Caenorhabditis elegans: one gene and its partners. The protein of the gene in region 1 interacts with the protein of each later gene in a pairwise test. Each region holds a gene or a part of one and is shown in the gene's direction. Other genes may lie near its edges.

The links.
Region 2: the proteins of cul-3 (region 1) and kel-8 interact in a two-hybrid assay, tested with the Caenorhabditis elegans proteins (one study listed by BioGRID).
Region 3: the proteins of cul-3 (region 1) and cand-1 interact in a two-hybrid assay, tested with the Caenorhabditis elegans proteins (one study listed by BioGRID).

Annotation. Positions count from the first base shown.
Region 1 is NC_003283.11:174,559-184,271, forward strand, and holds the start of cul-3 (Cullin-3), read left to right. Parts: upstream 1-3,020; 5' UTR 3,021-3,085; coding exon 3,086-3,142; intron 3,143-3,911; coding exon 3,912-4,828; intron 4,829-5,633; coding exon 5,634-6,270; intron 6,271-6,924; coding exon 6,925-7,303; intron 7,304-9,130; coding exon 9,131-9,342; intron 9,343-9,713. UniProt on the Caenorhabditis elegans protein: Probable core component of multiple cullin-RING-based BCB (BTB-CUL3-BTB) E3 ubiquitin-protein ligase complexes which mediate the ubiquitination and subsequent proteasomal degradation of target proteins.
Region 2 is NC_003283.11:2,669,058-2,675,826, forward strand, and holds the start of kel-8 (BTB domain-containing protein), read left to right. Parts: upstream 1-2,406; coding exon 2,407-2,466; intron 2,467-3,928; exon of another isoform or gene 3,929-3,943; coding exon of another isoform or gene 3,944-3,990; intron 3,991-4,038; coding exon of another isoform or gene 4,039-4,519; intron 4,520-4,572; coding exon of another isoform or gene 4,573-4,735; intron 4,736-4,794; coding exon of another isoform or gene 4,795-4,916; exon of another isoform or gene 4,917-5,110; intron 5,111-6,769. Other genes in the region: W02G9.4 (CUB domain-containing protein), read left to right, coding at 1-34, 770-923, 1,010-1,129; thum-1 (THUMP domain-containing protein), read left to right, coding at 3,944-3,990, 4,039-4,519, 4,573-4,735, 4,795-4,916. UniProt on the Caenorhabditis elegans protein: Substrate-specific adapter of a BCR (BTB-CUL3-RBX1) E3 ubiquitin ligase complex that regulates degradation of glutamate receptors in neurons. The BCR(kel-8) ubiquitin ligase complex mediates ubiquitination and subsequent degradation of rpy-1.
Region 3 is NC_003283.11:16,800,338-16,807,234, forward strand, and holds the start of cand-1 (Cullin-associated NEDD8-dissociated protein 1), read left to right. Parts: upstream 1-2,534; 5' UTR 2,535-2,536; coding exon 2,537-2,674; intron 2,675-3,166; coding exon 3,167-3,277; intron 3,278-3,811; coding exon 3,812-4,066; intron 4,067-4,736; coding exon 4,737-5,250; intron 5,251-6,067; coding exon 6,068-6,897. Other genes in the region: ctps-1 (CTP synthase), read left to right, coding at 1,183-1,475.

The DNA of each region.
Region 1 (9,713 bases):
GTTGAACGATGCTTGAAGTGGTGGCTGAAAGTATTTTCGTTGAAATTGAAAAAATGAAAAATCCAACTTTTTGCTTGAACTCCTCGAAATAAGAATTGCAAGACCAATTAGCATTTCCGAACTCCGCCTACTCTGTCTGATTGGTCGGAAAAGAGCGGTGCGAATCGCTGATTGGTCGCAGTTCTCATTTTGGAAGGAATTCAAATACTGTATTCTTTATTCTTTCGCGATTTTTGTCTTTTTTCTTTTGTGGCTTTCTGGAATTCAGATTAAATTCTAAATCTAGAAATGTATCATTTGAAGGTTTACATTTAGAATATATCATTGTTCTCGAAAAATTAAACGATGAAGCTTATCACATAGAAATTTTGAATTGAAAATTTTCAGTGCATTTTTCACTACTTTCATGGCCTGTAGAGGCACAAAAAATGTTTTTTTTTTATTTTGACTTTTGAATTTTGGAGGTTTTCAAGAATAGGCAAACGTTTTGGCATCTTTTTGAAAAAATCTGATTTTTTGGTAGATTCTATCCACTTTCTAAAAATTCTACATGCTCTGAACAAAGTGGAAAATACACTGAAAATTTCAGATCGAAGTTTCAGGTGTTTGAATTTGTGTAATAGTCTGAAAAATCTGAATATAAGCTTTCAAATGAGACATCTCGAAGAAAATGAATTTGTGAAAAAATCCAATTTTTTTCTAATTCGAGCACAAAATGATGTCGGTCTATCACACCTCCTTGTTGTTAGGTGAATAATTGTTAAATTCTTAATCTTTATGATATAACAAAGATAGGCTTCTAACTACGTCACGCCTACATATTCAATGAAATTTTGTAGTGCTACTACTATTTGTGCAAGCCGGAATATGAATGTCCTTTCATTTTTTTTCGTCCCAAAAGTATATAAAATATCTCACGATATACTCAGAGATTGGGCAACAAAGTTCAGGAGAACTTTTGATGCACACCGGAAATAAAAGGGCTTCACTGCTTTTTTTGTTGAATTCATATTGGTTTTGGCGGGAAATATTGAATCATTATTGATACTTTTGAAACAGGAATAGACAGTATTTTTCGTACGGAAATTCGATAATTTCCGAAAATGTTCGGTTGCCTCCCTCGCCCCCTTTGAAATTACAGGAGACTAAAATTCGAAGAATGCGTATTACGAAACGTATACGCGCAAAATATCTCATAGCGAAAACTACAGTAATTTTTTAAATTACTACTGTAGCGCTTGTGTCGATTTATGGGCTCGATTAAAATTGAGCAAAAAATTTAGAAAATACTATGCAGGCGCGGAGGAAAATAAAATATCGATATCACTATTCGGAAACAAATTCATTTCAAAAATCGAGCACGTAAATCGACACAAGCGCTACAGTAGCAATTTTTAAAAAAATTACTGTAGTTTTCGCTACGAGATATTTTGCGCGTCAAATTTGCTGCGCAATACGCATTCTCAGAATTTTGCGTTACCGTAATATACACGGTGAAGAACACGAGCCACCAGGAGTACGGTAGCCCTGACTTTAATTGCAAAAAAAGAGAAAACAGTGAAAAAAATCTGTATATAATTGCTATTATTTTTAAATTTCGCAAAAAAAATTAGAAATGACCACATTAATTTTGAATTCCTGCGCGAATGAATTCTATTTTTTGCGTATTCCTGCAATATTTATTGGATTTTCTCTTAGCCTAAAGCCTAAAACGCAGAAATTTCGAAATAATAAATTGACCATTTTTGAATTATTGGTGCAAAATTGAGAAAAATTGTGAAAAATTATACCATTTTTTGAACAATTACGCTCAGCTTACTAATTGTAAGATTACTCAGATTTATGGCAAAACACGATTTTTACGCCTTCAAAAAATCCTAGCTTTTGGCAAAACTTACAGGAAATTAAAAAATTCAGAATAAAAAGTAATAAGATCCAGGAAGCCATGACTCGAATCATTGTAGTTGAACTGTATGAATGATTTGATCCCAGCTTCTTCCGCCACCCTAAACACCCCATAATTTCCGTTTTCCGCTTGAATAGGAAATGTTGTATATTTCTGTACTCCTTCCTGAAGTATTAAAACTCGTTTTCGTTTATTAAACTGTTTCTTTTTTCAGATCACTCAACTTCCTCTTCTCAACGTCAACTTCGACTCGGCTAATTATAATTTTATTTATTTTTCTGATTTTTTTAAAATTCTTGTTTTTTCTCAAATTTCCAATTTCAACATCATCTTATTTTCAAATAAAAATATTTATTTTGCGACTTTCTATTAATTTGAAACAGCGAATATTGTTAATTTATTAAGTAAATTTAATCATTTTAGATCGTTTTCAACCGATTTTCGAGGGCTTTCCACAAATTTTGTACTTTTAAATAAATTTAAAGTTTATTCTACCGAAAACACTATTTATTTTTCCACGTGGACACCGCCAATTTTCTCTGAAAATTCTAAAATTCTGGTTGAAAATTAATTTTTAAAGCTTCCTCACGAGAAAAGCGCCAACGCACGAGGAGCGCGCCAGCAAACCCGCATTGACGCAGTCTCGGTGCACTTCTGAACTCCAAAACACACTGTTCCCGTTCGATTTTTCTCGCATTTTTCATAGTTTTTTTCGAAATTGAAGCTTTTAAAGGTGTTTTAGACTTGATTCGAAGTGAAATATTGATTGATTGAGCCGGAAAATAGGCAAAAAGTTCTGGAAAAACGCGCGAAATTAAAATTCCAGTGACTTTCGAGATAATGATATTGATTTTTCCGAGTAATTAAGTTGATATCCAGCTATTTATTTTTGCGTGACATTCTAATTACCGGATTTTCAAAGTTTTTTCGAAAAAAAAACAAAGCAAAATCGATTTATTTCGAATTACTCGCGACTTCTCAACTTTGAAGCTGAAAATAGTTAGTTTTGTTTTTTCTGTTATCAGTGCGCGCTTTTTCTGCAATAATAACATTCCGCAGTACGATTTTTTCAAATTTTTTGCTTTTCGAGAACGGAAAATCAAGTTTATTTCAGTGTGCACGAAAAACGAGCGAGATTCTGACTTGACCAGTTCGTTCGGAATCGACTCATTTTTGGAGATGAGCGGACGCTCCGGTAATGGTGGACAACAAAAAATGAGAATTCGCCCATTTATGGTAGGTTTACACACACAGATTTTAGTCCTCTATCAAGCCTGTCTCCTTGTTTTGCGTGAAAAATCGATTTTTTTAAAACGAAACTTGGAATGTTACGGCCGAATTATCCGCGATATCCGAACAATCCGTCAATTTCTGATGAGAAACTGATATTTTTCCACTGGCAACTGTATGCCACGTGGCAATCATTTTCAGTTTGCGTGCCACGTGCCAAAACTCGTCATTTCTAAAGAACAAAAGCAAAATATTTTTTTTTCATATAACAAAATCGATTCTGAGGGATTTCTAATGGTCAATAATTGTTTTTGACCGTTTAACCAGGAAAAAACGAAGAGAAAAACTGTAAAATCGTATTTCCGCCGTTTTTTATCGATTTTCTATTTTTTTTCCTATTTGCTTGGACTAGCCATTAGAAACATGAAATTTGTTATAAACGGCAATGTTCTCGCAAAAATGACCTCACATAAGAGTTTTTCGCGTTTTTTTCACGAAAAAAAAACGCATTTTTGATCGAAATTTACCGAATTTCATCCCAAAAAAGTTCCAAAATTTTTGCCAAATTTTGCTAAAATCTGATATTTCGTAAACTTTTCTAGCTGGAAAATCCCTGAGTTTAGCAAATTTTGGCGCTTTTCCGAAAATTTTGAATTCTTATAATGAAATTTTGGAAATTTTTTAATAGTCGGGCCAGTTTTTGGTCATTTAAGGAAAATGCCCAAAATTTAGAAAAGCCGCAAAAAAAAAACGGAGAAAAATGATTTTTTTTCAGGCCACAATAGACGAGCAATATGTGACACAGACATGGGAACTTTTGAAGCGTGCCATACAGGAAATCCAACGCAAAAACAATTCGGGCTTGAGTTTCGAGGAGCTCTACCGCAACGCATATACAATGGTGCTCCACAAGCACGGAGAACGTCTCTATAATGGCCTGAAAGACGTGATTCAGGATCATATGGCGTCGGTTCGAATTCGAATTATCGAATCAATGAATTCTGGAAGCTTCCTGGAGACTGTCGCCGAATCGTGGGCTGATCACACTGTCGCCATGGTCATGATTCGTGATATTCTGATGTATATGGATCGGATCTACGTGGCACAGAATAATCACGTCCTGCCGGTCTATAATCTGGGTCTCGACGCGTATCGGACGGAAATTCTGCGGCAAAACGGGATTGGCGACCGAATTCGCGATGCTCTTCTGGAGCTTATCAAATTGGATCGAAAATCGAATCAAATCAATTGGCACGGAATAAAAAACGCGTGTGATATGCTCATCTCGCTAGGAATCGATAGCCGGACGGTTTATGAGGACGAATTTGAGAGGCCACTTCTGAAGGAGACTAGTGATTACTATCGGGATGTGTGCAAGAATTGGCTTTCTGGCGACAATGACGCGTGCTTCTATCTGGCACAGGTGGAGATTGCGATGCACGACGAGGCGAGCCGAGCGTCGAGATATCTTGACAAAATGACAGAGGCCAAAATCCTGCAGGTGATGGATGATGTGATGGTTGCTGAGCATATTCAGACGATTGTCTACATGCAGAATGGTGGTGTGAAGTTTATGTTGGAGCACAAGAAGATTGAGGATTTGACTCGCATTTTCCGTATTTTCAAACGTATCGGAGATTCGGTGACAGTACCGGGTGGTGGATTGAAGGCGCTGCTTAAGGCGGTTAGCGAGTGAGTTTTTCGCGCGATTTTTTTTTAGAAATTGAATTATTTGGTGATTACAGCCGTGGGAGGAACGTTGTAAAATTAAAATTTGAACAATTTTCACCACAAAAAGGCACTAGCATGGTTATCTGTCGATTTACGAAGCCTGTGTACTCTTCGAGGGGAAATTTTGTTTTTTTACCCCAGAAATTACGGGTTTTTGCTTTAATGCGGAGATTTCAATGATTTTATTTTGTAAAAAATTGAAAATTTCACCCAAAATGGCTCCATGTGTCGGTTTAACCAGCTTTTGTGCTCCTCGAAAATTTATGTATTTGATGGTTAAATCTAGACTTTACTTTGGCACTTTTTTTGAAGAGGATTTTACAGTGTTTAGCTAAAATGCTTAATCGTTCAAATTATTTCTAATTTTAATGGTAAAACACCACCAATGCAAGCATTTCAGCCAGAAACCGTAAAAAATAATCCACGTGGAGTACACGAGTCGCGTAAATCTACACATGGCCGTGTTAGTAGAGGTTTCGCGGCCACGTTTTCGCTTCAAGAAATTTAAATTCCAGCCAATTTACTGTATTTTTATTTATCAAACTCTACTTTTCTGACCTAAACCCGTGTCACTCGCCCGCAGCAATCTGTTTATTTGTTCTGTTGTCCATTACGTCGAACACCGCCGCTTCTCCTTAAAACGCCTCAGCTGTTGGTGGTTTTAGTTTTTAGATAACACCAACCCTAACAGTTGAACACGGAGCATTCAGAAAACTAGAGCAGAATTGGGGGTTGCTCAGCAAGAAAAGTTAACTTTTTTTTCCAGATATCTCAACGAAACCGGCTCGAACATTGTGAAAAATGAGGATCTGCTCAAAAACCCCGTCAATTTTGTCAACGAATTGCTCCAGCTCAAAGACTACTTCTCCAGTCTGCTCACCACTGCGTTTGCCGACGATCGTGACTTTAAGAATCGCTTCCAGCATGATTTCGAGACGTTCCTCAACTCGAATCGCCAATCGCCGGAATTTGTGGCCCTCTACATGGACGATATGCTGCGAAGCGGTCTGAAATGTGTGTCGGACGCCGAAATGGACAATAAGCTCGACAATGTGATGATCTTGTTCCGCTATCTACAGGAGAAGGATGTATTCGAGAAGTATTTCAAGCAATACCTCGCCAAACGTCTCTTGCTCGACAAATCGTGCTCCGACGATGTGGAGAAGGCTCTGCTGGCAAAGCTGAAGACAGAGTGTGGTTGCCAGTTTACTCAGAAGCTTGAGAATATGTTCAGAGACAAGGAGCTTTGGCTGACACTGGCCACAAGCTTCAGAGACTGGCGAGAGGCTCAGCCGACCAAAATGAGCATTGACATATCGCTTAGAGTTTTGACGGCGGGCGTTTGGCCGACGGTTCAGTGTAATCCGGTTGTGTTGCCGCAAGAGTTGTCGGTTGCCTATGAGGTAATTCGAATTTTCAATTGGTTTTGCAATTTTTGAGCTTGATGTTTCACAAAACCCGCAAAAATGTCTGCTTACACGCAGGGTTGTCGTTTTTTGCCAAAAGATGGATTTTTTATACAGAAAAATGTGCATTTTAGAGACAATATATATTTTTTTCGGTTTTTCCAATCAAAAAACAACAAGTATGTTTTTTTTTCAAAATTTAATTTCCAGTCGCGATGAGATGAATTCAAAAAAAAAACGTTTCTTCTAGTTTTTCTGACCAAATACCTAGAAATCCATTTTTCTGCCAGAAAAGCCAAAAAAGATTCCGAATATCTATTATTTTTGCTTGAAATCGCTTTTCACACGCGCACCAGAGACATTCTCATTGGACCGCCACACTTGTGTCGATTTACGAGATTTCTCATGAAATTTTCAGGCCAATTTCAATTTTTCAATAAGTATGTTTCATTTTTGTGGAAAAACTGAAATCTCCGTAAATCGACACAACACGGTGCGCTCCAATGAGAATATCTCTGGCGCGAGTTTAAAAATATTATTGGGTGCGATTAAACGTGCTTTCAAGCTAAAATATAAAACCAGGGCAATTTTTAAAAAAATATTTTTTCACAAAGATTTTTGGAATTTCTTCAATTTCCCCTCGTTTTTCAGATGTTCACACAATACTACACTGAAAAGCACACTGGCCGTAAGCTGACAATCAACACACTTCTCGGAAACGCTGACGTCAAAGCCACATTCTATCCACCACCAAAAGCATCCATGTCAAACGAGGAAAATGGTCCTGGACCGTCGAGCAGTGGAGAGTCGATGAAAGAACGAAAACCGGAGCACAAGATTCTCCAGGTCAATACGCATCAGATGATCATTCTCCTTCAGTTCAACCATCACAATCGGATCTCATGTCAGCAGCTGATGGATGAGCTTAAGATTCCCGAGCGAGAGTTGAAGAGGAATTTGCAGTCGCTGGCTCTCGGAAAAGCGTCGCAGCGGATTTTGGTCAGAAAGAATAAGGGAAAAGATGCGATAGGTATGAAAAGGAAATTATAGTTTTTCGAATTTTTTTGAAAAAAATTGATAATTTGAAAAAAAAATCAATTTCCAATCGCTGCAGCCAACTTTCCCATGGGACATGGGAAAGTTGGCAAAGTTGGGTTTTTTTTGCTAACTAGGGAATGGTGTTACCCCTGCAATCGCTAGGAGGACAAACAAAGTGAAAATGGAAGATCAGATCTATGGCTACAAGAATCAGTTTTTGGAATCTGCTTAACTCGGTCCCAAAGCTGAAATTTTCGGTCTTAAAAAGTAGTCCTTTTTTTGCTCAAAATGCCGTTTTTCGTGTGTAGAAGTGGCTACATAAAAGTTTGGCACTGCAGCCGCCGTTCGAATGGCCGATTGGTGAACTCTTGTGCTCATTAATCTAAAGGTCACGGGTTCGTTCCCCACTAGGTATTAATTTTTTTTTGAATTTTTCCTCTAGCATGAAATATGCACAAAAACACGGTTTCTTCCGTTTTTTGGTAACTTCGGAATAAATTTTTTGGTTCCTGGGAATCATAAAAGTAATTTGGAAACTTTTTGGAAGTTTTCTTTTTTTGATAAATTTTCACTTTTCTCCCACCTGATGTATGCACATTTTTTTCTTCAAAAATAATTTTTCAAAATTTTTTCAAAAAGTGTTTGGTTTGAAAGAGCAGCATTAGTTTGGATATTTCTACGATTTTGGAGGATCAAATGTCATTTTTAGGAGAAAACCACTGTTGTTTTCTCTAGACTTTTTCACGAAAAGGACCTACTTTCAAAGACTTCCAGCTCCGTTGACGAGTAAAATAAAAAAGAGTTGTCAACTGCAAAGTTATTTCAAAAGTACCAATGAACAAATTGTCAGTTGAAGTTACTCTGCTAAATTTTATGGGTAGAGAGATATAGCTAATCGAAGTGAAGCTTTAACTTACTTAATTACTAATGTCCATATCTCTCTACCCATAAAATTTAGCAGAGTAACTTCAACTGACAATTTGTTTATTGGTACTTTTAAAATAACTTTGCAGTTGACAACTCTTTTTTATTTTACTCGTCAACGGAGCTGGAAGTCTTTGAAAGTAGGTCCTTTTCGTGAAAAAGTCTAGAGAAAACAACAGTGGTTTTCTCCTAAAAATGACATTTGATCCTCCAAAATCGTAGAAATATCCAAACTAATGCTGCTCTTTCAAACCAAACACTTTTTGAAAAAATTTTGAAAAATTATTTTTGAAGAAAAAAATGTGCATACATCAGGTGGGAGAAAAGTGAAAATTTATCAAAAAAAGAAAACTTCCAAAAAGTTTCCAAATTACTTTTATGATTCCCAGGAACCAAAAAATTTATTCCGAAGTTACCAAAAAACGGAAGAAACCGTGTTTTTGTGCATATTTCATGCTAGAGGAAAAATTCAAAAAAAAATTAATACCTAGTGGGGAACGAACCCGTGACCTTTAGATTAATGAGCACAAGAGTTCACCAATCGGCCATTCGAACGGCGGCTGCAGTGCCAAACTTTTATGTAGCCACTTCTACACACGAAAAACGGCATTTTGAGCAAAAAAAGGACTACTTTTTAAGACCGAAAATTTCAGCTTTGGGACCGAGTTAAGCAGATTCCAAAAACTGATTCTTGTAGCCATAGATCTGATCTTCCATTTTCACTTTGTTTTGTCCTCCTAGCGATTGCAGGGGTAACACCATTCCCTAGTAAAATTTGCCTTTTTCACGTTTTTGAACTGTTTCATACGGAAATTTATGTTTTTTGGAATATTTTACGTTAACTATTAAAAAAGCACCCAGAAAAATCGATAATTTCAATTTATAATTTTTCCAGACATGAGTGACGAGTTCGCCGTCAACGACAACTTCCAATCGAAGCTGACACGTGTCAAAGTGCAAATGGTGACAGGAAAAGTGGAATCGGAGCCCGAGATTCGTGAAACTCGCCAGAAAGTTGAGGATGATCGAAAGTTGGAAGTGGAGGCGGCGATTGTTCGTATTATGAAGGCCCGAAAGAAGTTGAATCACAATAATCTGGTGGCAGAGGTGAGCATTTTTCCATTATATTTTTTATTTTAAATATTCAAATATTTTTTAAAGCTAAAATCGAAGTACGAAACAAAAAATACGATATAGAATGAGAAAAAAGTGTGAATGTTGCCAAAAAATGAATATTCACGCATAGTACACGTACTCGTAAATCTACACAACTCTTAAAGGAACATTGATTTATATATCGTGTTTAGATTGTCGAGGATGTCGGAAAAAAAATGTTTTTTTTTAATCAAAAATATAAAAATGGGCTCAATTTCGAGCTATTTTTCGAAAAACCTAAGTTTTTTTTTCGAATTTTTGACTTCCCGTTTTTCAAAAAAAAATTCGGTTGCACAACAACAACAACGCCAATTAAAAACCCA
Region 2 (6,769 bases), 2.5 Mb from region 1:
ATGGAGCGAACACTTCCGCACCGCTTATTGGACAGTAAGTTAGACAGGGGGTAGGGGTAGGTAGGCGAGAGGTCGACCTAAAGCGGACTAAGGTAGGCAGGCGATCTGAAACCTAGTCTCAATAAAAAGCCGTAATTGGATCTAACTAAAGCAGAAAAACAGAAAACTCCATAGTTTTTATGACTACCTACCAATATTGCTATATTTCATATCAAATATCATACTCTAGAGTAATCCTACAGTACTCCTACAGTACCCCGACCATATCCCCCACTGACCCTAAACCAATATCCCTTCAAAAGACAAAATTCAATTTTTCCTAAACTACAGTAATCCTACAGTACTCCTGCAGTACCTCTACCGTACTACTACAGTACTACTACAGTACCCCTACAGTACTACTACAGTACCCCGACCATATCTCCCACTGACCCTAAACCAACATACCTTCAAAAGACAAAAACTGAACTTTGCCTAAACTACAGTAATTCTACAGTAATCCTACAGTACCTCTACAGTACCCCGACCTTATCCCCCACTGACCCTGAACCAATACCCCTTCAAAAGACAAAAACTCAATTTTGCCTAAACTACAGAAATTCTACAGTACCCGACCATATCCCCCACTGACCCTAAACCAATATCCCTTCAAAAGACAAAAACTCAAGTGTTCCTAAACTACAGTAATCCTACAATACTCCTACAGTACCCCGACCATATCCCCCACTGATCTTAATCCAAGGATACTATAAAATAACCATTTTTTCAGTTATTCCGGAAAGAATATGCCAGCTCCAATAACATCGACGAGCAACACTTTGTACCTGTGCTTCTCCTCAGACTTGGTCACCAATTTCTCGGGATTCTCCGGTCTGTATACCTCATTTGTCTCGAACAACTTCAAGCGCGGAGTACTACCACAGGTGAGAAAAGATCTAGGCCGGCTTGGAAGCAGGCAGGCATTTTTGTGCCTAGGTACCTAGGGCTTCACTAAAAACTAATCTTTCAGTCCCTGACAACGGATTCAGTGGCGATTCGTCGTGACAAGAACATTCTCGACTGGCTCAAAAAGAAGGCCGAGGAGAAGAAGCTTATTGGAGCTGCTGCAGCACCGGTTATCTCTATCTAGTAGTCCCCCGAAATTCTCAATATGTAATGAATTATTATTTCTTCGCAATTATTTTTTGCCGCTTACTGTATGAAAGTGAAAGGAAAATTAGAAAATTAGTGATGGGGGGGGGGGGGGGGTGATAAGAGAAATCTGGGTTGAAGGGGGAGGGGTAGGGCGATAAAAAGGGAAATTTTAGGAGGAAGAGAAGCTGGTTTTTAAAAAATAAAATTTTTGTTCTATGCCCGGACGCGGGAAAAATTTCACATTGATCTACAGTAGATCATCATCACGGGCTTCTAGTAGCGGTTTTTCGCGCTCCATTGAAAATCGGTGAGCGGAAATTGCAGTTCGGCAAAGGAAGGTTTCAAATTCGGCAATTTGCCATTTTGCCGATTTGCCGGAAATTTTGAATTCCGGCAAATTTCACGATTAGCCGGAAATTTTCAACTCCGGCAATTTGCCAGTTTGCCGATTTGCCGGAAATTTTCAATTCCGGCAACTCCCCGATTTGCCGGAAATTGTCAATTCCGGCGAGTTCCCGATTTGCCGGAAATTTTCTATTCCGCCAGTTTGCCGATGTGCAGGAAATTTTCAATTATGGCAATTTGCCGATTTGCCGGAAATTTTAAATTCCGGCAAATTTGCCAGTTTGTCCTAAATTGTCAATTCCGGCGATTTCTTGATTTGCCGGACATTTTCATTTCCGGTAATGTGCCAATTTGCCGAAAATTTTAAATTCCGGCATTTTGCCGATTTGCCGAAAATTTTCAATTCCGGCAAAAATCGACCCCAGCCGTGGCCGAGTCAAAATGGCCTGAATATAATCAAATGTGCTCCAACGCACCAGCCGACTGTGACGGACATTATTCAGGGCTTGACCTACAGAAATCGTTTGACCTACTGGCGCCTCATTATAAACTCATATGACGTCACAAATTTCAATAATTTCCCGCGCTTTCTGGAGGTCAAAGTGCCCATCCTCAACAAAACATCCCGTTCAGGGTCCTATCCCCAAGTCTCCAGACCCTAAAGCCTACAATCATAAAGCTTGTCACTAAATAATTGCCATGTTTTTGTCTGCCAATCAACTGACTGTCCCCCTCCTGCTGTGGTATATTCAGAAGATACCAGAAGCTGTAACAAAAGACGCAGGACGTACAAGACAGGTTGAGAGAGACACTGTGGGGGCGCAGACACACACAAAAAAATCAGGGGGCGGGAAGTGAATCGAGAGAGGAAGAAGCTGGCATCTAGAATACCAGACTGACAGGCGACACACACCACGAAAAAAAAACATGTGGACCTTCAACAGATCTACCGCGGAGGCGCCAACTATGCCGTCAAGCTCTAATACGGTAGGTGGTAACTATTTTACTTTTTCTGGAATTTCATTTTGTAAGCTACCACGGATTTCTGGCTTCCCTCTCATAAATTGAAATGGAAGAGTTTGCCAAACTAGGCCATTTTGGCTCGGCCATAAGTGGGGTAGATTTACGGCGCGTTGCGTGTCGCGTCGCGGCTCGATTTTAGTTGTAAAACTAAGTCTATTTGTCCGTGTGGAGTACACGATTTTAACACGCGTTGTCCGCCGGGCGATTGTCAATGGAGCGCGAAAAATTCTCTGAGGAAAGACAGAACCCCGTGATTTTGGCCTAAAAATCATTAAAACAGGAAAATTGCCGAAATAACGGGGTTCTACCCTTCCTCATTGAATTTTTTGCGCTCCATTGATAATCGTCCGAAGGAAAACGCGTGGGTAAATCGTGTACTCCACACGGACAAATGCATTTAGTTTTACAACTAAAATCGAGCCGCGGCGCGACACTCAACTCGCCGTAAATCTACCCCAGTAATGGCCGAGCCAAAATGGCCTAGTTTGGCAAACTCTTCCATTTCAATTTATGAGGGTAATCAGAAATTCGTCATTTTGGCCTAAAAACACCAATTTGGCCTAAAAACATTAAAACCACGGGAAATTTGAAACAGGAAAAAAATGGCAAAAAATTCTTGGAAACCGGCGAAATCGGCATAACTAATCCAAAACGTTCGAATGTACTATTTTGCCGCCAAACACCTAGCGGGTCATGGTGCGGGGGCCGAGAATTTCCTATTGGCAGTGGAGCGCGTTTCCACGTGGATTTTTCTGCGTACCCATAATAGCCGCGTCACACAGTTAGTCACCCAATTTACTACCTAATTGCATGGCCTTTGTGTCGGAACTCGTTTTTTTCGTAATGTCGCAACACATGGTACATAGATAAAAATCTCGAGATAACCTATAGTTCAGTTCAAATGTGAAGCAAATTTACTGGTGAATCGGGAAAAAACTGGTAAATTGTTCGGGATATATACTTATTATACATCAAAAATTGCTCGAAAAATTGTGAATTTCAGCTTTTTTTTCAGGAAATATATATTTTCTAGAAGAAGAATACCGGAAAAAGGTGCGGGTCATTTTGCACGCCATCACGAAATTTTCGCAAATTCCAGCGTTTCCGTCAAAATAGTAAATGTATATTCAAAATTTTTTCATCTAATTATCAAGTGAGGCTGCTCTTTTCAAGTTTCGCTGTAAAGAACCGCCTCTTTTTCGTAGTTTGTTTCACATAAAGTGGTGGTGACTCTGCAATTAAAGGTGTGCAAACGCGCTCTGTGGTTACGTGCAAGAGAGAAGAGATTTAGAGAAGTTGGAGGGAATATTAATTGTTTTTTTTTGTTTTTAATTGTTTTTATGTGTTTTTTTCGCATTTTTCGTTGATTTTTCGTTAAAAAACTTCAAAAACAATAATTTTCATTCAAAAATTTCAATTTTTCCAGAAAAAATCACTGAAAATGGCAGATAACGACAGAAAACGAAAGCATAACCGATGGAATCAAAAGTGAGAGCTAAAATTTGAGAAAAAAAAACTATTCTAAGACAATTTCAGAGTTAAACAAAAATCTGTGGAAGCCGGAGTGACCGGACTATTCTTTTCCTGCGAAGGCCACGAAAAGCAGGCCCTACAAGAAGCCTACAGTATTATTGACGAGCTTCTCGAAGACCCGGCGAATGGAATCTCTCTTAAAGCACCAGAAGCTGCTCCACAAGGCTCAGAAGCACCCGGAAATCCAGCAGAAGCTGAAGATTCCGATGAAGACATTGCCGATGCGTTGAAAAAGGCTTGTGATGATCAGAGGCAGCCGAAGCCGGGAAATTTCGTGAAAAAAGAGAGAAGATGCATTCAAAGACCGACGGGAGTGAAGAATTGCATTTTTGTGAGCGTGAAAAACGCGAATATTCAACTTTTAGCCGAAAAAATGGTCGAGCTGACGCAAAAAGCTCCGCGTTGCAGGTTTTTGCAACGAGTTTACCCGGTGGAGCATACTTTAGCTGTGGATCTTTCAAAAATGAATGAAGTTTTGATGAAGGTGCTTTTATTTAATTAAATTAATTAATAAAATAAAAAAAAGTAATTTTTCAGGTAATCTCCGACACATTGAAGGCAGACGGCACTGGCAAACTTCCCACGTATTCCGTGGAATTTAAAGCGAGAAATAACGATTCTGTGGCGAAGAATTCCGTGCTCCAAATGGTCGATGACGCCGTTTGTGCGCTGGCTCCGACTGCGAGAGTTAGCCTAAATCGTTAGTGTCTCTAAAAATCTGAAAAAATTTCAAAAAAATCAAAAAATCAATGATTCCAGACGCCGACGTCACATTCTTCGTTCAAGTATCTCGTACGACAATTATGGTTGGCGTGTGCCGGCAATTTTACGACCGCCGAAAGTATAGTCTTCGTGCGACGCCGGCAGCGGCAGCGACATAAGTCTCTTCTTCGACCTTTTTCCCCCTTTCACCCAGCGCCTCATTGGCTCAGTGGCAGAGCGTCTGTCTAGTAAACAGAAGGTCGCTGGTTCGATTCCAGCATGAGGCACCGAATTTTTTTTGTTTTTTTCATTTGTTCTGTTAAAATACTTTGGCTATTTATTTGTTAAAATACATGAAATTTGAGATTCGATTGTTAATTATTTTTTAAATGCATGGTATCTATAACTGTGACGTGTCAAAAACTCAGGTCGACCCTTGCTCGCGCGCGTCTCATGCACAACCGAGCAAGAAAAAAAACGTGCAACCAACCCGAAAATCTAGCTCACCCGTTCTGCGCACTCCCCAAAATCAACACTATTTCGCTCTCTCGCAGCTCTTCCAAATTGTCAAACAAACCGAGTAGTTACACGCACCCCCCGCCGAAACTCGGGAGCATTCAATCTGGCCTGGTTTTCCAGTATGCTGAAATTTTTTGGACTATTGTAAATTGTTTGTGAAAAAGGTCTCGCCACGAACGAAATATTTTTACAATAATCATTTGTGTGAAATGCTGTGCGTCTTTTTACCCGTTTATTGCAATTTTCACATGGTGTCAGGTTGTCCCATAACGGTTTGATCTACAAAAAATGCGGGATTTTTTCCACCAAAAAATGTGACGCCATCTGCACGTTCTTAACCATGCAAAATCAATTGAGAAGTCTGCGTCCAAATTCCCGCATTTTTGTAGATCAAACCGTTATGGGGCATTCTGACACCACGTGATTTTTCTGAAATTCTCTTAATTTTACGCCAAAAATACGGTACCCTGGTCTCGACACGACAAATTTCTGTCAAATGCGAATAGGTGTGCGCTTTTAAGGAGTACTGTAGTTTGGAACTTTCGTTGCTGCCGGATTTTCGTCGATTTTTATAGCTTTTCGATAAAAATTCAACTACAAAAAACCTATAAAAAACGATTACAACCCCGCCGCCGCATTGAAATTTTAAAACTACAGAACTCTTTCGCATTCAACAAAAATTTGTCGTGCCGAGACCAGGGCACAGTATTCTTGGCGCAAAAATTACAAAATGTCGGTTTTGGGTAATATTCTGCAGACTGAAATTTTGGCGCATGCATAACATAGTTGACGCGCAAAATATATCTCGTAGCGAAAACTACAGTAACCCCTTAAATGACTACTGTAGCGCTGGTGTGTCGATTTACGGGCTCCATTTCCGAGTCTATAGAATATTAAAATCCAGTAGATTTTTTTCGAAAAGAAAATCATTTTAAAAAATCGAGCCCGTAAATCGACACAAGCGCTACAGTAGTCATTTAAAGAGTTACTGTAGTTTTCGCTAAGAGATGTTTTGCGCGTCAAATATGCTGCGCAGTACGCATTCTCAGAATTTTGTGTTCCCGTAATATCATCACGGCCCGAGAACTGGTACTCTTAAAAACGACACCTTCATTTTATGAAATTTGAAAAACAAAATGATCGAAAAAAAAAATTCTCTAATTTTTACACGGAATTCTGGCTTCCTTCATAAATTGAAATGTAAGGGTTTTGCCGAACTAGGCCATTTTGGCTCGGCCATATCTGGGGTAGATTTACGGCGCGTTGCGTGTCGCGTCGCGGTTCGATTTTAGTTGTAAAACTAAATTTCGTTGTCCGTGTGTGGAGTACACGGCTTTCCCACGCGGTGTCCGTCAGGCGGTTGTCAGTGGAGCGCGAAAAATGCAATGAGGAAGGCCAGAACCCCGTGGTAGGCAAATTTCGTACCACTTCTCGGGACATACCGTTATGTCAATTTTCCAAAAATTTCAACAAAAAACGAAAAGGTTTTGAATCCAGTTCTAGGCCATATTTT
Region 3 (6,897 bases), about 17 Mb from region 1:
CCGAAAAATTGATTTTTAATTGCTTATTAGTTCACATTTTTCGTTATTCCAGGTGCATTTTGCCTACCTATAGACCTTAAATATACCTAAATCAACGAAAAAACGTGCTATTAATGACAGAAATAAGACAAGATTCAATTAAAAATCAATTTTAATTAGTTCGAAAGTTTGAACCGTAATAAAAAAGTTTTGAAACATTTTTAAAATATCTCAATTCAAAATGTGTTTATTTTAGCATATTTCGAGTTTACACAAGCTATTTCATGAGATCAATCGATATTCTTCTCGCTTTAGTTGCTCCAAATCGATAATTACCTCTGGAAATTGCGTCCTGGCAATTTTCAGAGAGAGCGAACGCGCTCCATTGCGAACCATTTGATTTTGAAATTGATGACTCTCTCTCTGCAAGTGGTTACGCAATTTTCTTTGCTAACAGTTAATTTTTTTCTCAAAATCTGCTGGTTTGGCCCTGTCACTCTTAATTTAGGCCGTTTTCTCTTAGTCGTATTTTTCTACTTTTTTAAAAATTCTTACCAAGGGTGTAATTGGAGAAAATCGAGAAATTTCGATTTTTTAATCAAATTTTTTTTGTGGAGAAAAACATAAAAAGGCATATTATTTTCTTATAAAATGTGGGAAAACACCCCAAATTTTCAGCTATTTTCCGAGAAATCGACTTTGTTTTCGAAAAATCAAAAAAAAAAAAAAAAAAATTTCATTTTTTTGATAATTTTTATTCAAGTTGACGAGTAAAAACTATAAGGAAATCGATATTTTTCTTCAAAAATGTGGGAAAAATAGCCCAAATTTTAAGCCATTTTCCGGACAAATCTACAATTTTTTTTTTGAAATTTCAGAAAAATTTTAACAAGACTGTCAAAAAAAAATTCGGCTAAAAAAAAGAAACTGTTGGTTTTTTATCGTCATACCAACTAAAATATAACATTTTTGAAGAAAAAAAAAGAAGTTTTTTGGTCCGAAAAACCTAACAAAAATTCCATTTTTGGAAGTTATTTTCCTAAAAATCTAAATTTTTCTGGTGAAAATCGATGAACAAACTTTAAAAAAAAATCAAATTTTGTTTATGCTGATAAACATTATTTTATTCATTTTTGAGAAGATTTTTCAAAAAGTCGAAATTAAAAAAAACCGGCACCCCTTGAAGCTTATCTCCAATTCCAGACCACCCATACTTTGTCGGAGCCCAATTCCATCCCGAATACCTTTCCCATCCACTCACTCCATCTCCACCATTCTTCGGTCTTCTGCTTGCCGCAACTCGTCAACTTAATTCATATTTCTCTGGGTCAAGAAGTCCGGCTCTTCAAGTTGTAAATGAAGAGGAGCATCTTCATCATACAAAAGAGAATGACTCGGAGGAGAAGCGTGAAGATGTTGTTGGAGCAATGTTGGGGAAACTGAAACTCGAGGGAAATGCTGTGCCAGGAACTCAGAGATTGGCTTCTTTCCATTAATTGTTTCCTCAATTTTTCGTCGTTTTTTTTCACTTTTTTTGTAGTTGAGTAGATGATTTTGTCAGAAAATCGTCTTAAAATTTGCAGAAATTGACCGATTTTTTGCCTTTTTTTGAGCCAAAAATCCATTTTTCGAGCTGAAATCGCTGAATTTTTGGATTTTTTGCAGTTTTTGAGCCAAAAATCCATTTTTCAAGCTGACATTGCTGAATTTTTGGATTTTTGCTCTCCGAAAAGCTATTTTTTGTGCGAAAAACGGGAAAACGCTCAAAACTTGGTATTTTTCGATTTTTTTTTCAATTTTTGCCGTTTTTTGAGCTGCTTATCTTAAAATTTACATTTTTGCGCCAGAAAACTCATTTTTTCAGCCGATTTCCCAAAAATATGCCTAAAAAGGAACACTTTTACCCCGAAAAGTGGTTTTTTTTTTTGAGGCAAAAATGTTTTTAAAAATCCAAAATTTGAGCGAAATATGTAAAAAATGGCTTTTTCCACCAAAAAACTATTTTTTGATCTGAAATTGCGATATTTCAAGCTTTTTTTCCCAAAAACTGGCCTAAAAATACCAATTTCAGTCCAAAAAATTATTTTTTGACTCAAAAAATTGCCAAAATCCGCCAGAAAAACGAAAAATTCAGATTTTTGCAAATTTTGAGTCAAATTTTCGAAAAAATCGACCCTTTTTCGTCAATTTCAGACCATTTTCAGACAAAAATCCCTCCAGTTTTTGTTGTTTTTATTCTTATTTTCTGATATTCCAAAGATAATTTTCTTCTTTTTTTTCGCATTTTTCTCGTCGTTTTTGTCCTTTTGTTATCCTTGTTTCTGTTTTTTTTTCATTAATTTCTCCCATAGTCACCTTCATTTTTTCCCGGATTTATTCAATTGTTGACCCAGTTTCATAGATTTTGTTCTCTACCAACACCCGATGAACTTCGTTTTTAGAGTTTTTGATCACTTATTTTGGCGCCCAAAATTGTCTATTTTCTTGCCTCTTTTGGTTATCTTTTTCACGTTTTCAGACCCCGAAAAGTGATTTTCAGACCAAATTTTGTTTCCAGATGAGTGCTTATCATGTCGGGCAACTGGTCGACAAAATGTCGAATCCGGATAAGGATTTCCGGTTCATGGCTTGCAATGATTTGATGAAAGATTTGCAGACTGGAACTATCGCTTTGGAGGACGATTCGACTGCTAAAGTATAGTAAAATCTCAAAAATTGGCGGTTTTTGGTGCAAAAATTGCTTTAAAAAGCTAAAAAATAACCCTAAAAATTGAATTTTCCAGTGAAATTTTATTGTAATTTTGAAAAAAAAGGTGAAAAATAGCTAAAATCTGTACTTTCAACAGAAAAATCTGTTTGAAATTTCAAAAAAAATTTTAGCTGAAAATTGAAATTTCTACAAAAAAAATTCGAAACCGGCAAAAACCGTAATTTTCTACAAAAAAAATTATTTAAAAATCCGAAAAACTGCTAAATTCTGCTGTAATTTAAATTTTTAACGAAAAAAAAATTATTTAAAATTACAAAAAAAAACTGTTTATTTTGGCAAAAACCGGAAATTTCTGCCAAAAAATGTTGAAAATTCAAAAAATGGCTAAAATTAACTAAAAACCGCCGGAATTTAAACAAAAATTCCAAAAAAAAATTCAAAATTTAGCTAAAATCTGAATTTTCTAATTTTTTTCAGGTCATTCGTGCTCTAATCAAACTGCTCAGTGACTCAAACGGAGAAGTTCAAAATCTTGCGATCAAATGTATTGGACTCCTTGCTCAGCCATCGAAAATCAAAACGCATCATGTCAGTAATCGGAAAATTCAAAATTTTAATTTCGGTGTTTTTAACGGAAAAAATTGGAAAAAATACGACAAAACTGGAGATTTCAATGAGAAAAATACGAAAATTCCTTCAAAAAATTAAGAAATGACTGGAAAGTTTGAAAATTTCGTACAAAAAATGGAATTTTGGCTGGAAATTCGAATTTTCAGTCGATTTTTATATAAAATTTCAGAAAAGTCACATTTTCATTCAATTTTTGGAGGAAAACACGAATTTCCAGTCAAAGTTTGACAAAAAAGTCATTTTTTGGATGGATGGTCAAATTTTAAATCAATTTTTGTCGGAAAATTCGAATTTAAAATAAATTTTCAGCGTGAAATTCAATATTTCTACAATAAAAAGTTTAAAAAATTGGAATTTTCAGTCGAATTTCCACAGAAAGTTCAAAATTTCAGTAGATTTTTCAACATTTCAACGGGAAATTAAATATTTAACATTAAAAATTTTTGTTTAAAAAAATTATCATTAAAAATTTGAAAAAATCCCAAATTTCAGCTGGAATATCTCGTCGAAGAGCTCACTCCACACGTTTTTTCGAAAGCTGAACAATCAAGAGATATTCATTCTCTCACACTTAAAGCAATGATTCTAAATTTGGCTCCATCGGCTTCAAGTAATGCAACAACTACAGTTGTCAAGAGAATGTTGCCAAAATTTGTGGATTCTCTGTCGTTGTGTGCTCCAGATGATGCGGCTCGTGTCGATGTTCTCGATTTGATTGGAGAAGTTTTGCTGAGATTTGGTGATGTTGTAAGTGTGGATTTACACCCGGAAATCCTATTTTTTGGGCTTTTCAAGCCTTAAAATAGCCCAAATGAGCCTTTTTTGAGCTCAAATATCTTCAAAATTTCAAAAAAAATACCCCAAATCTAGCCAAAAACCGTCATTTTGCAGAAATTCCGTTTTTTTCTACATTTTGTCGTCAAGTCCGGTGTCTTGGCGGTGTTTGCTCACTTTTGAGGCTACAGTACTCTAGAAAACAGCCATTTTGCTCGTTACCGGGATTACTGTACCCTTAAAAGCACGCAAACACGACATATTGCGGAAAATATTGATTATTCTGCATTTTGCCGTCAAATCCGGTGTGTTGTCAGTGTTTGCGAATTTGTGGAGCTACAGTAACCCTAAAATTGAAAAATTGTCAGTTTTGGGTTTTTTAAACCAAACTTTCAAAAATTTTCCATTTTTTGCTTTAAAAACTCTGAAATAATGCCAAATTTCGAAAAAAAAACGAAAAATCCAACGCGATTTTTCAATTTTGGCTAATTTCCTCCAAAATGGGAATTGCGACCAATCAGCGATTCGCCCCGCCCACTTTTCAACCAATCAGATGGAATTCAGCCGAAATTTCACGTTTTTCCCGAATTTAAGACTATTTTGGCACTTTTTGAAGCAAAATCTCACACATTTCTAGTTCCAGGTTCCCGAAATGCACAAAGGATCGTTGAAAGTGATGGTAGATCACTTGTATTCATTCCGTTCCGCTATCAGAAAGAAGGCAATCACTGGAATCGGACATCTTGCCTCTGTAATCAACGGAGAGCTTTACGATGAGCTCGTTCAAGATTTGCTCAAAGAGCTGGCTCAACGATCCCCTCCATCGTCGGCTGCTCAAAATGTGCAACTTCGTACACTTGTGATCGCGTTGAGCACTGTCGCACGAGCCAGTGGATCGAGATTCTCGAAGCATACGCCGAAAGTTGTTCCGTTCCTTCTTCAATATCTTCAAATTGATCCTGGAACCGAATCGGAGCACGATGATCTACGGGAAGCTTCTATTCAAGGATTGGAAGTATTTTTGTACCGGAATCCACAGGAAGTTGTAGCTTTTGAGAAGGAAGTTATCCAACAGCTCACTGATGCACTGGCCTATGATCCGAATTACGAGTATGGAGATGATGATGAGGATGAGCAAATGGAAGATGATGAAGATGGTAGGAAACTGTGCGAAAATTGAAGATTTTAAAGATTTTTTAGCTGAAATTCTTGATTTTGGAGCTTTTTTTAGCCTTAAAGGTGGACTACGCTCAGTGGGGATATTGCTTTAAAACACGCCTATGGTACCACAATGACCGAATATCATGATAAAAAAATTCAAAAACATTTTTCTAGATTTTATATGATTTTTTGAAAATTGAAAAAAATATCAGTTTTTGCCTAATTCCTATTTGAATTTCCGCCAATTGAATTTGTTCGAGGGAGCGCGCTTGCACGTTTTTAAATTTATTTATTTATTTATTGTTATTTTCCACCAACTTTTAAAGTTTTCGGTGTATTTTTGCTCGAATTTTAGAGAAAAAGTCAAAATAAATGCAAATTTTCGATTAAAAAGCAAACGTACAGGCGTAAAAATGAAAAAGTAACGCTTTTAAACGATTTAAAACCTGAATTAACTAATTTCCTGGTAGCGTGCTTTTTAATCGAAAATTTGCAATTATTTTGACTTTTTCTCTAAATTCAAGCAAAAATACACCGAAAACTTTAAAAGTTGGTGGAAAATAACAATAAATAAAATAAATAAATTTAAAAACGTGCAAGCGCGCTCCATCGAACAAATCCAATTGGCGGAAATTCAAAAAGGAATTAGGGGAAAACTGCGATTTTTCCAATTTTCAAAAAATCATATAAAATTTGGAAAATTTTTTTGAATTTTTTAATCATGGTATTTGGTCATTGTGGTACCATAGGCGTGTTTTAAAGCAATTTCCTCGCTGAGCGTAGTCCACCTTTAAATATTCAAATTTTTTGCAGACGACGAAGATGAATACAGCGACGACGAAGACGTCACATGGAAAGTTCGCCGCGCCGCCGCAAAAGCCATCGAAGCAATGATCTCATCACACCGGGAATCCCTTCTCAATCTCTCGCAAAAAATCGGTCCAGTAGTGATTGGACGATTCAAAGAACGCGAAGAGACTGTCCGAACTGAAATCATCTCAGTCTACATTGCCCTACTCAATCAGATCTCCATTTTGGTCCCAGATTTGCAGAAGGCCGTTGTGGCCGCCGACGAGGATTCCATTGAAACTGATGATATTGTGGTGATTGGTGGAACCAAATTTTCGACGAATTATCTATCACGCAGCCAGTTGGCTATAATTCAATCGTTAGCTGATCAGAAAGATGTGCTTCTTCGTACAATCACAAAATCGATGAAAAAACACCCGAAAACTGGTCCAAAATGCATTGAACTTCTTTCGGCCCTAATTCGGACCTATCCATCAGGCCTTGAAGATAGTCTCGATGATATTATTCCGGCTGTATCCAACATTTTAACCGATAAAAATGCGTCGGCTCAGGGAAAAATGACTGTGCTCAGCTTCATTTCGAATGCCTTGACACTCAATAATCCGAAGAGATTCAAGAATTTGTTGAGCCCATTGACCACAATTATGACTCATTCAATTTCTGAGCCATTTTATAAAGTCTCAGCAGAAGGCCTCGCAGTGTGCTGTAAATATATTGATGTGCTCCGTGAGCTGTCGGCTTGTGGTGGAAATGAGGAGGCGAAGAAGTTATTGGTCGTTGTTGAGAAGAAATTTATGGCTAATGATACTGATCAAGAGGTTCGAGAGAGAGCT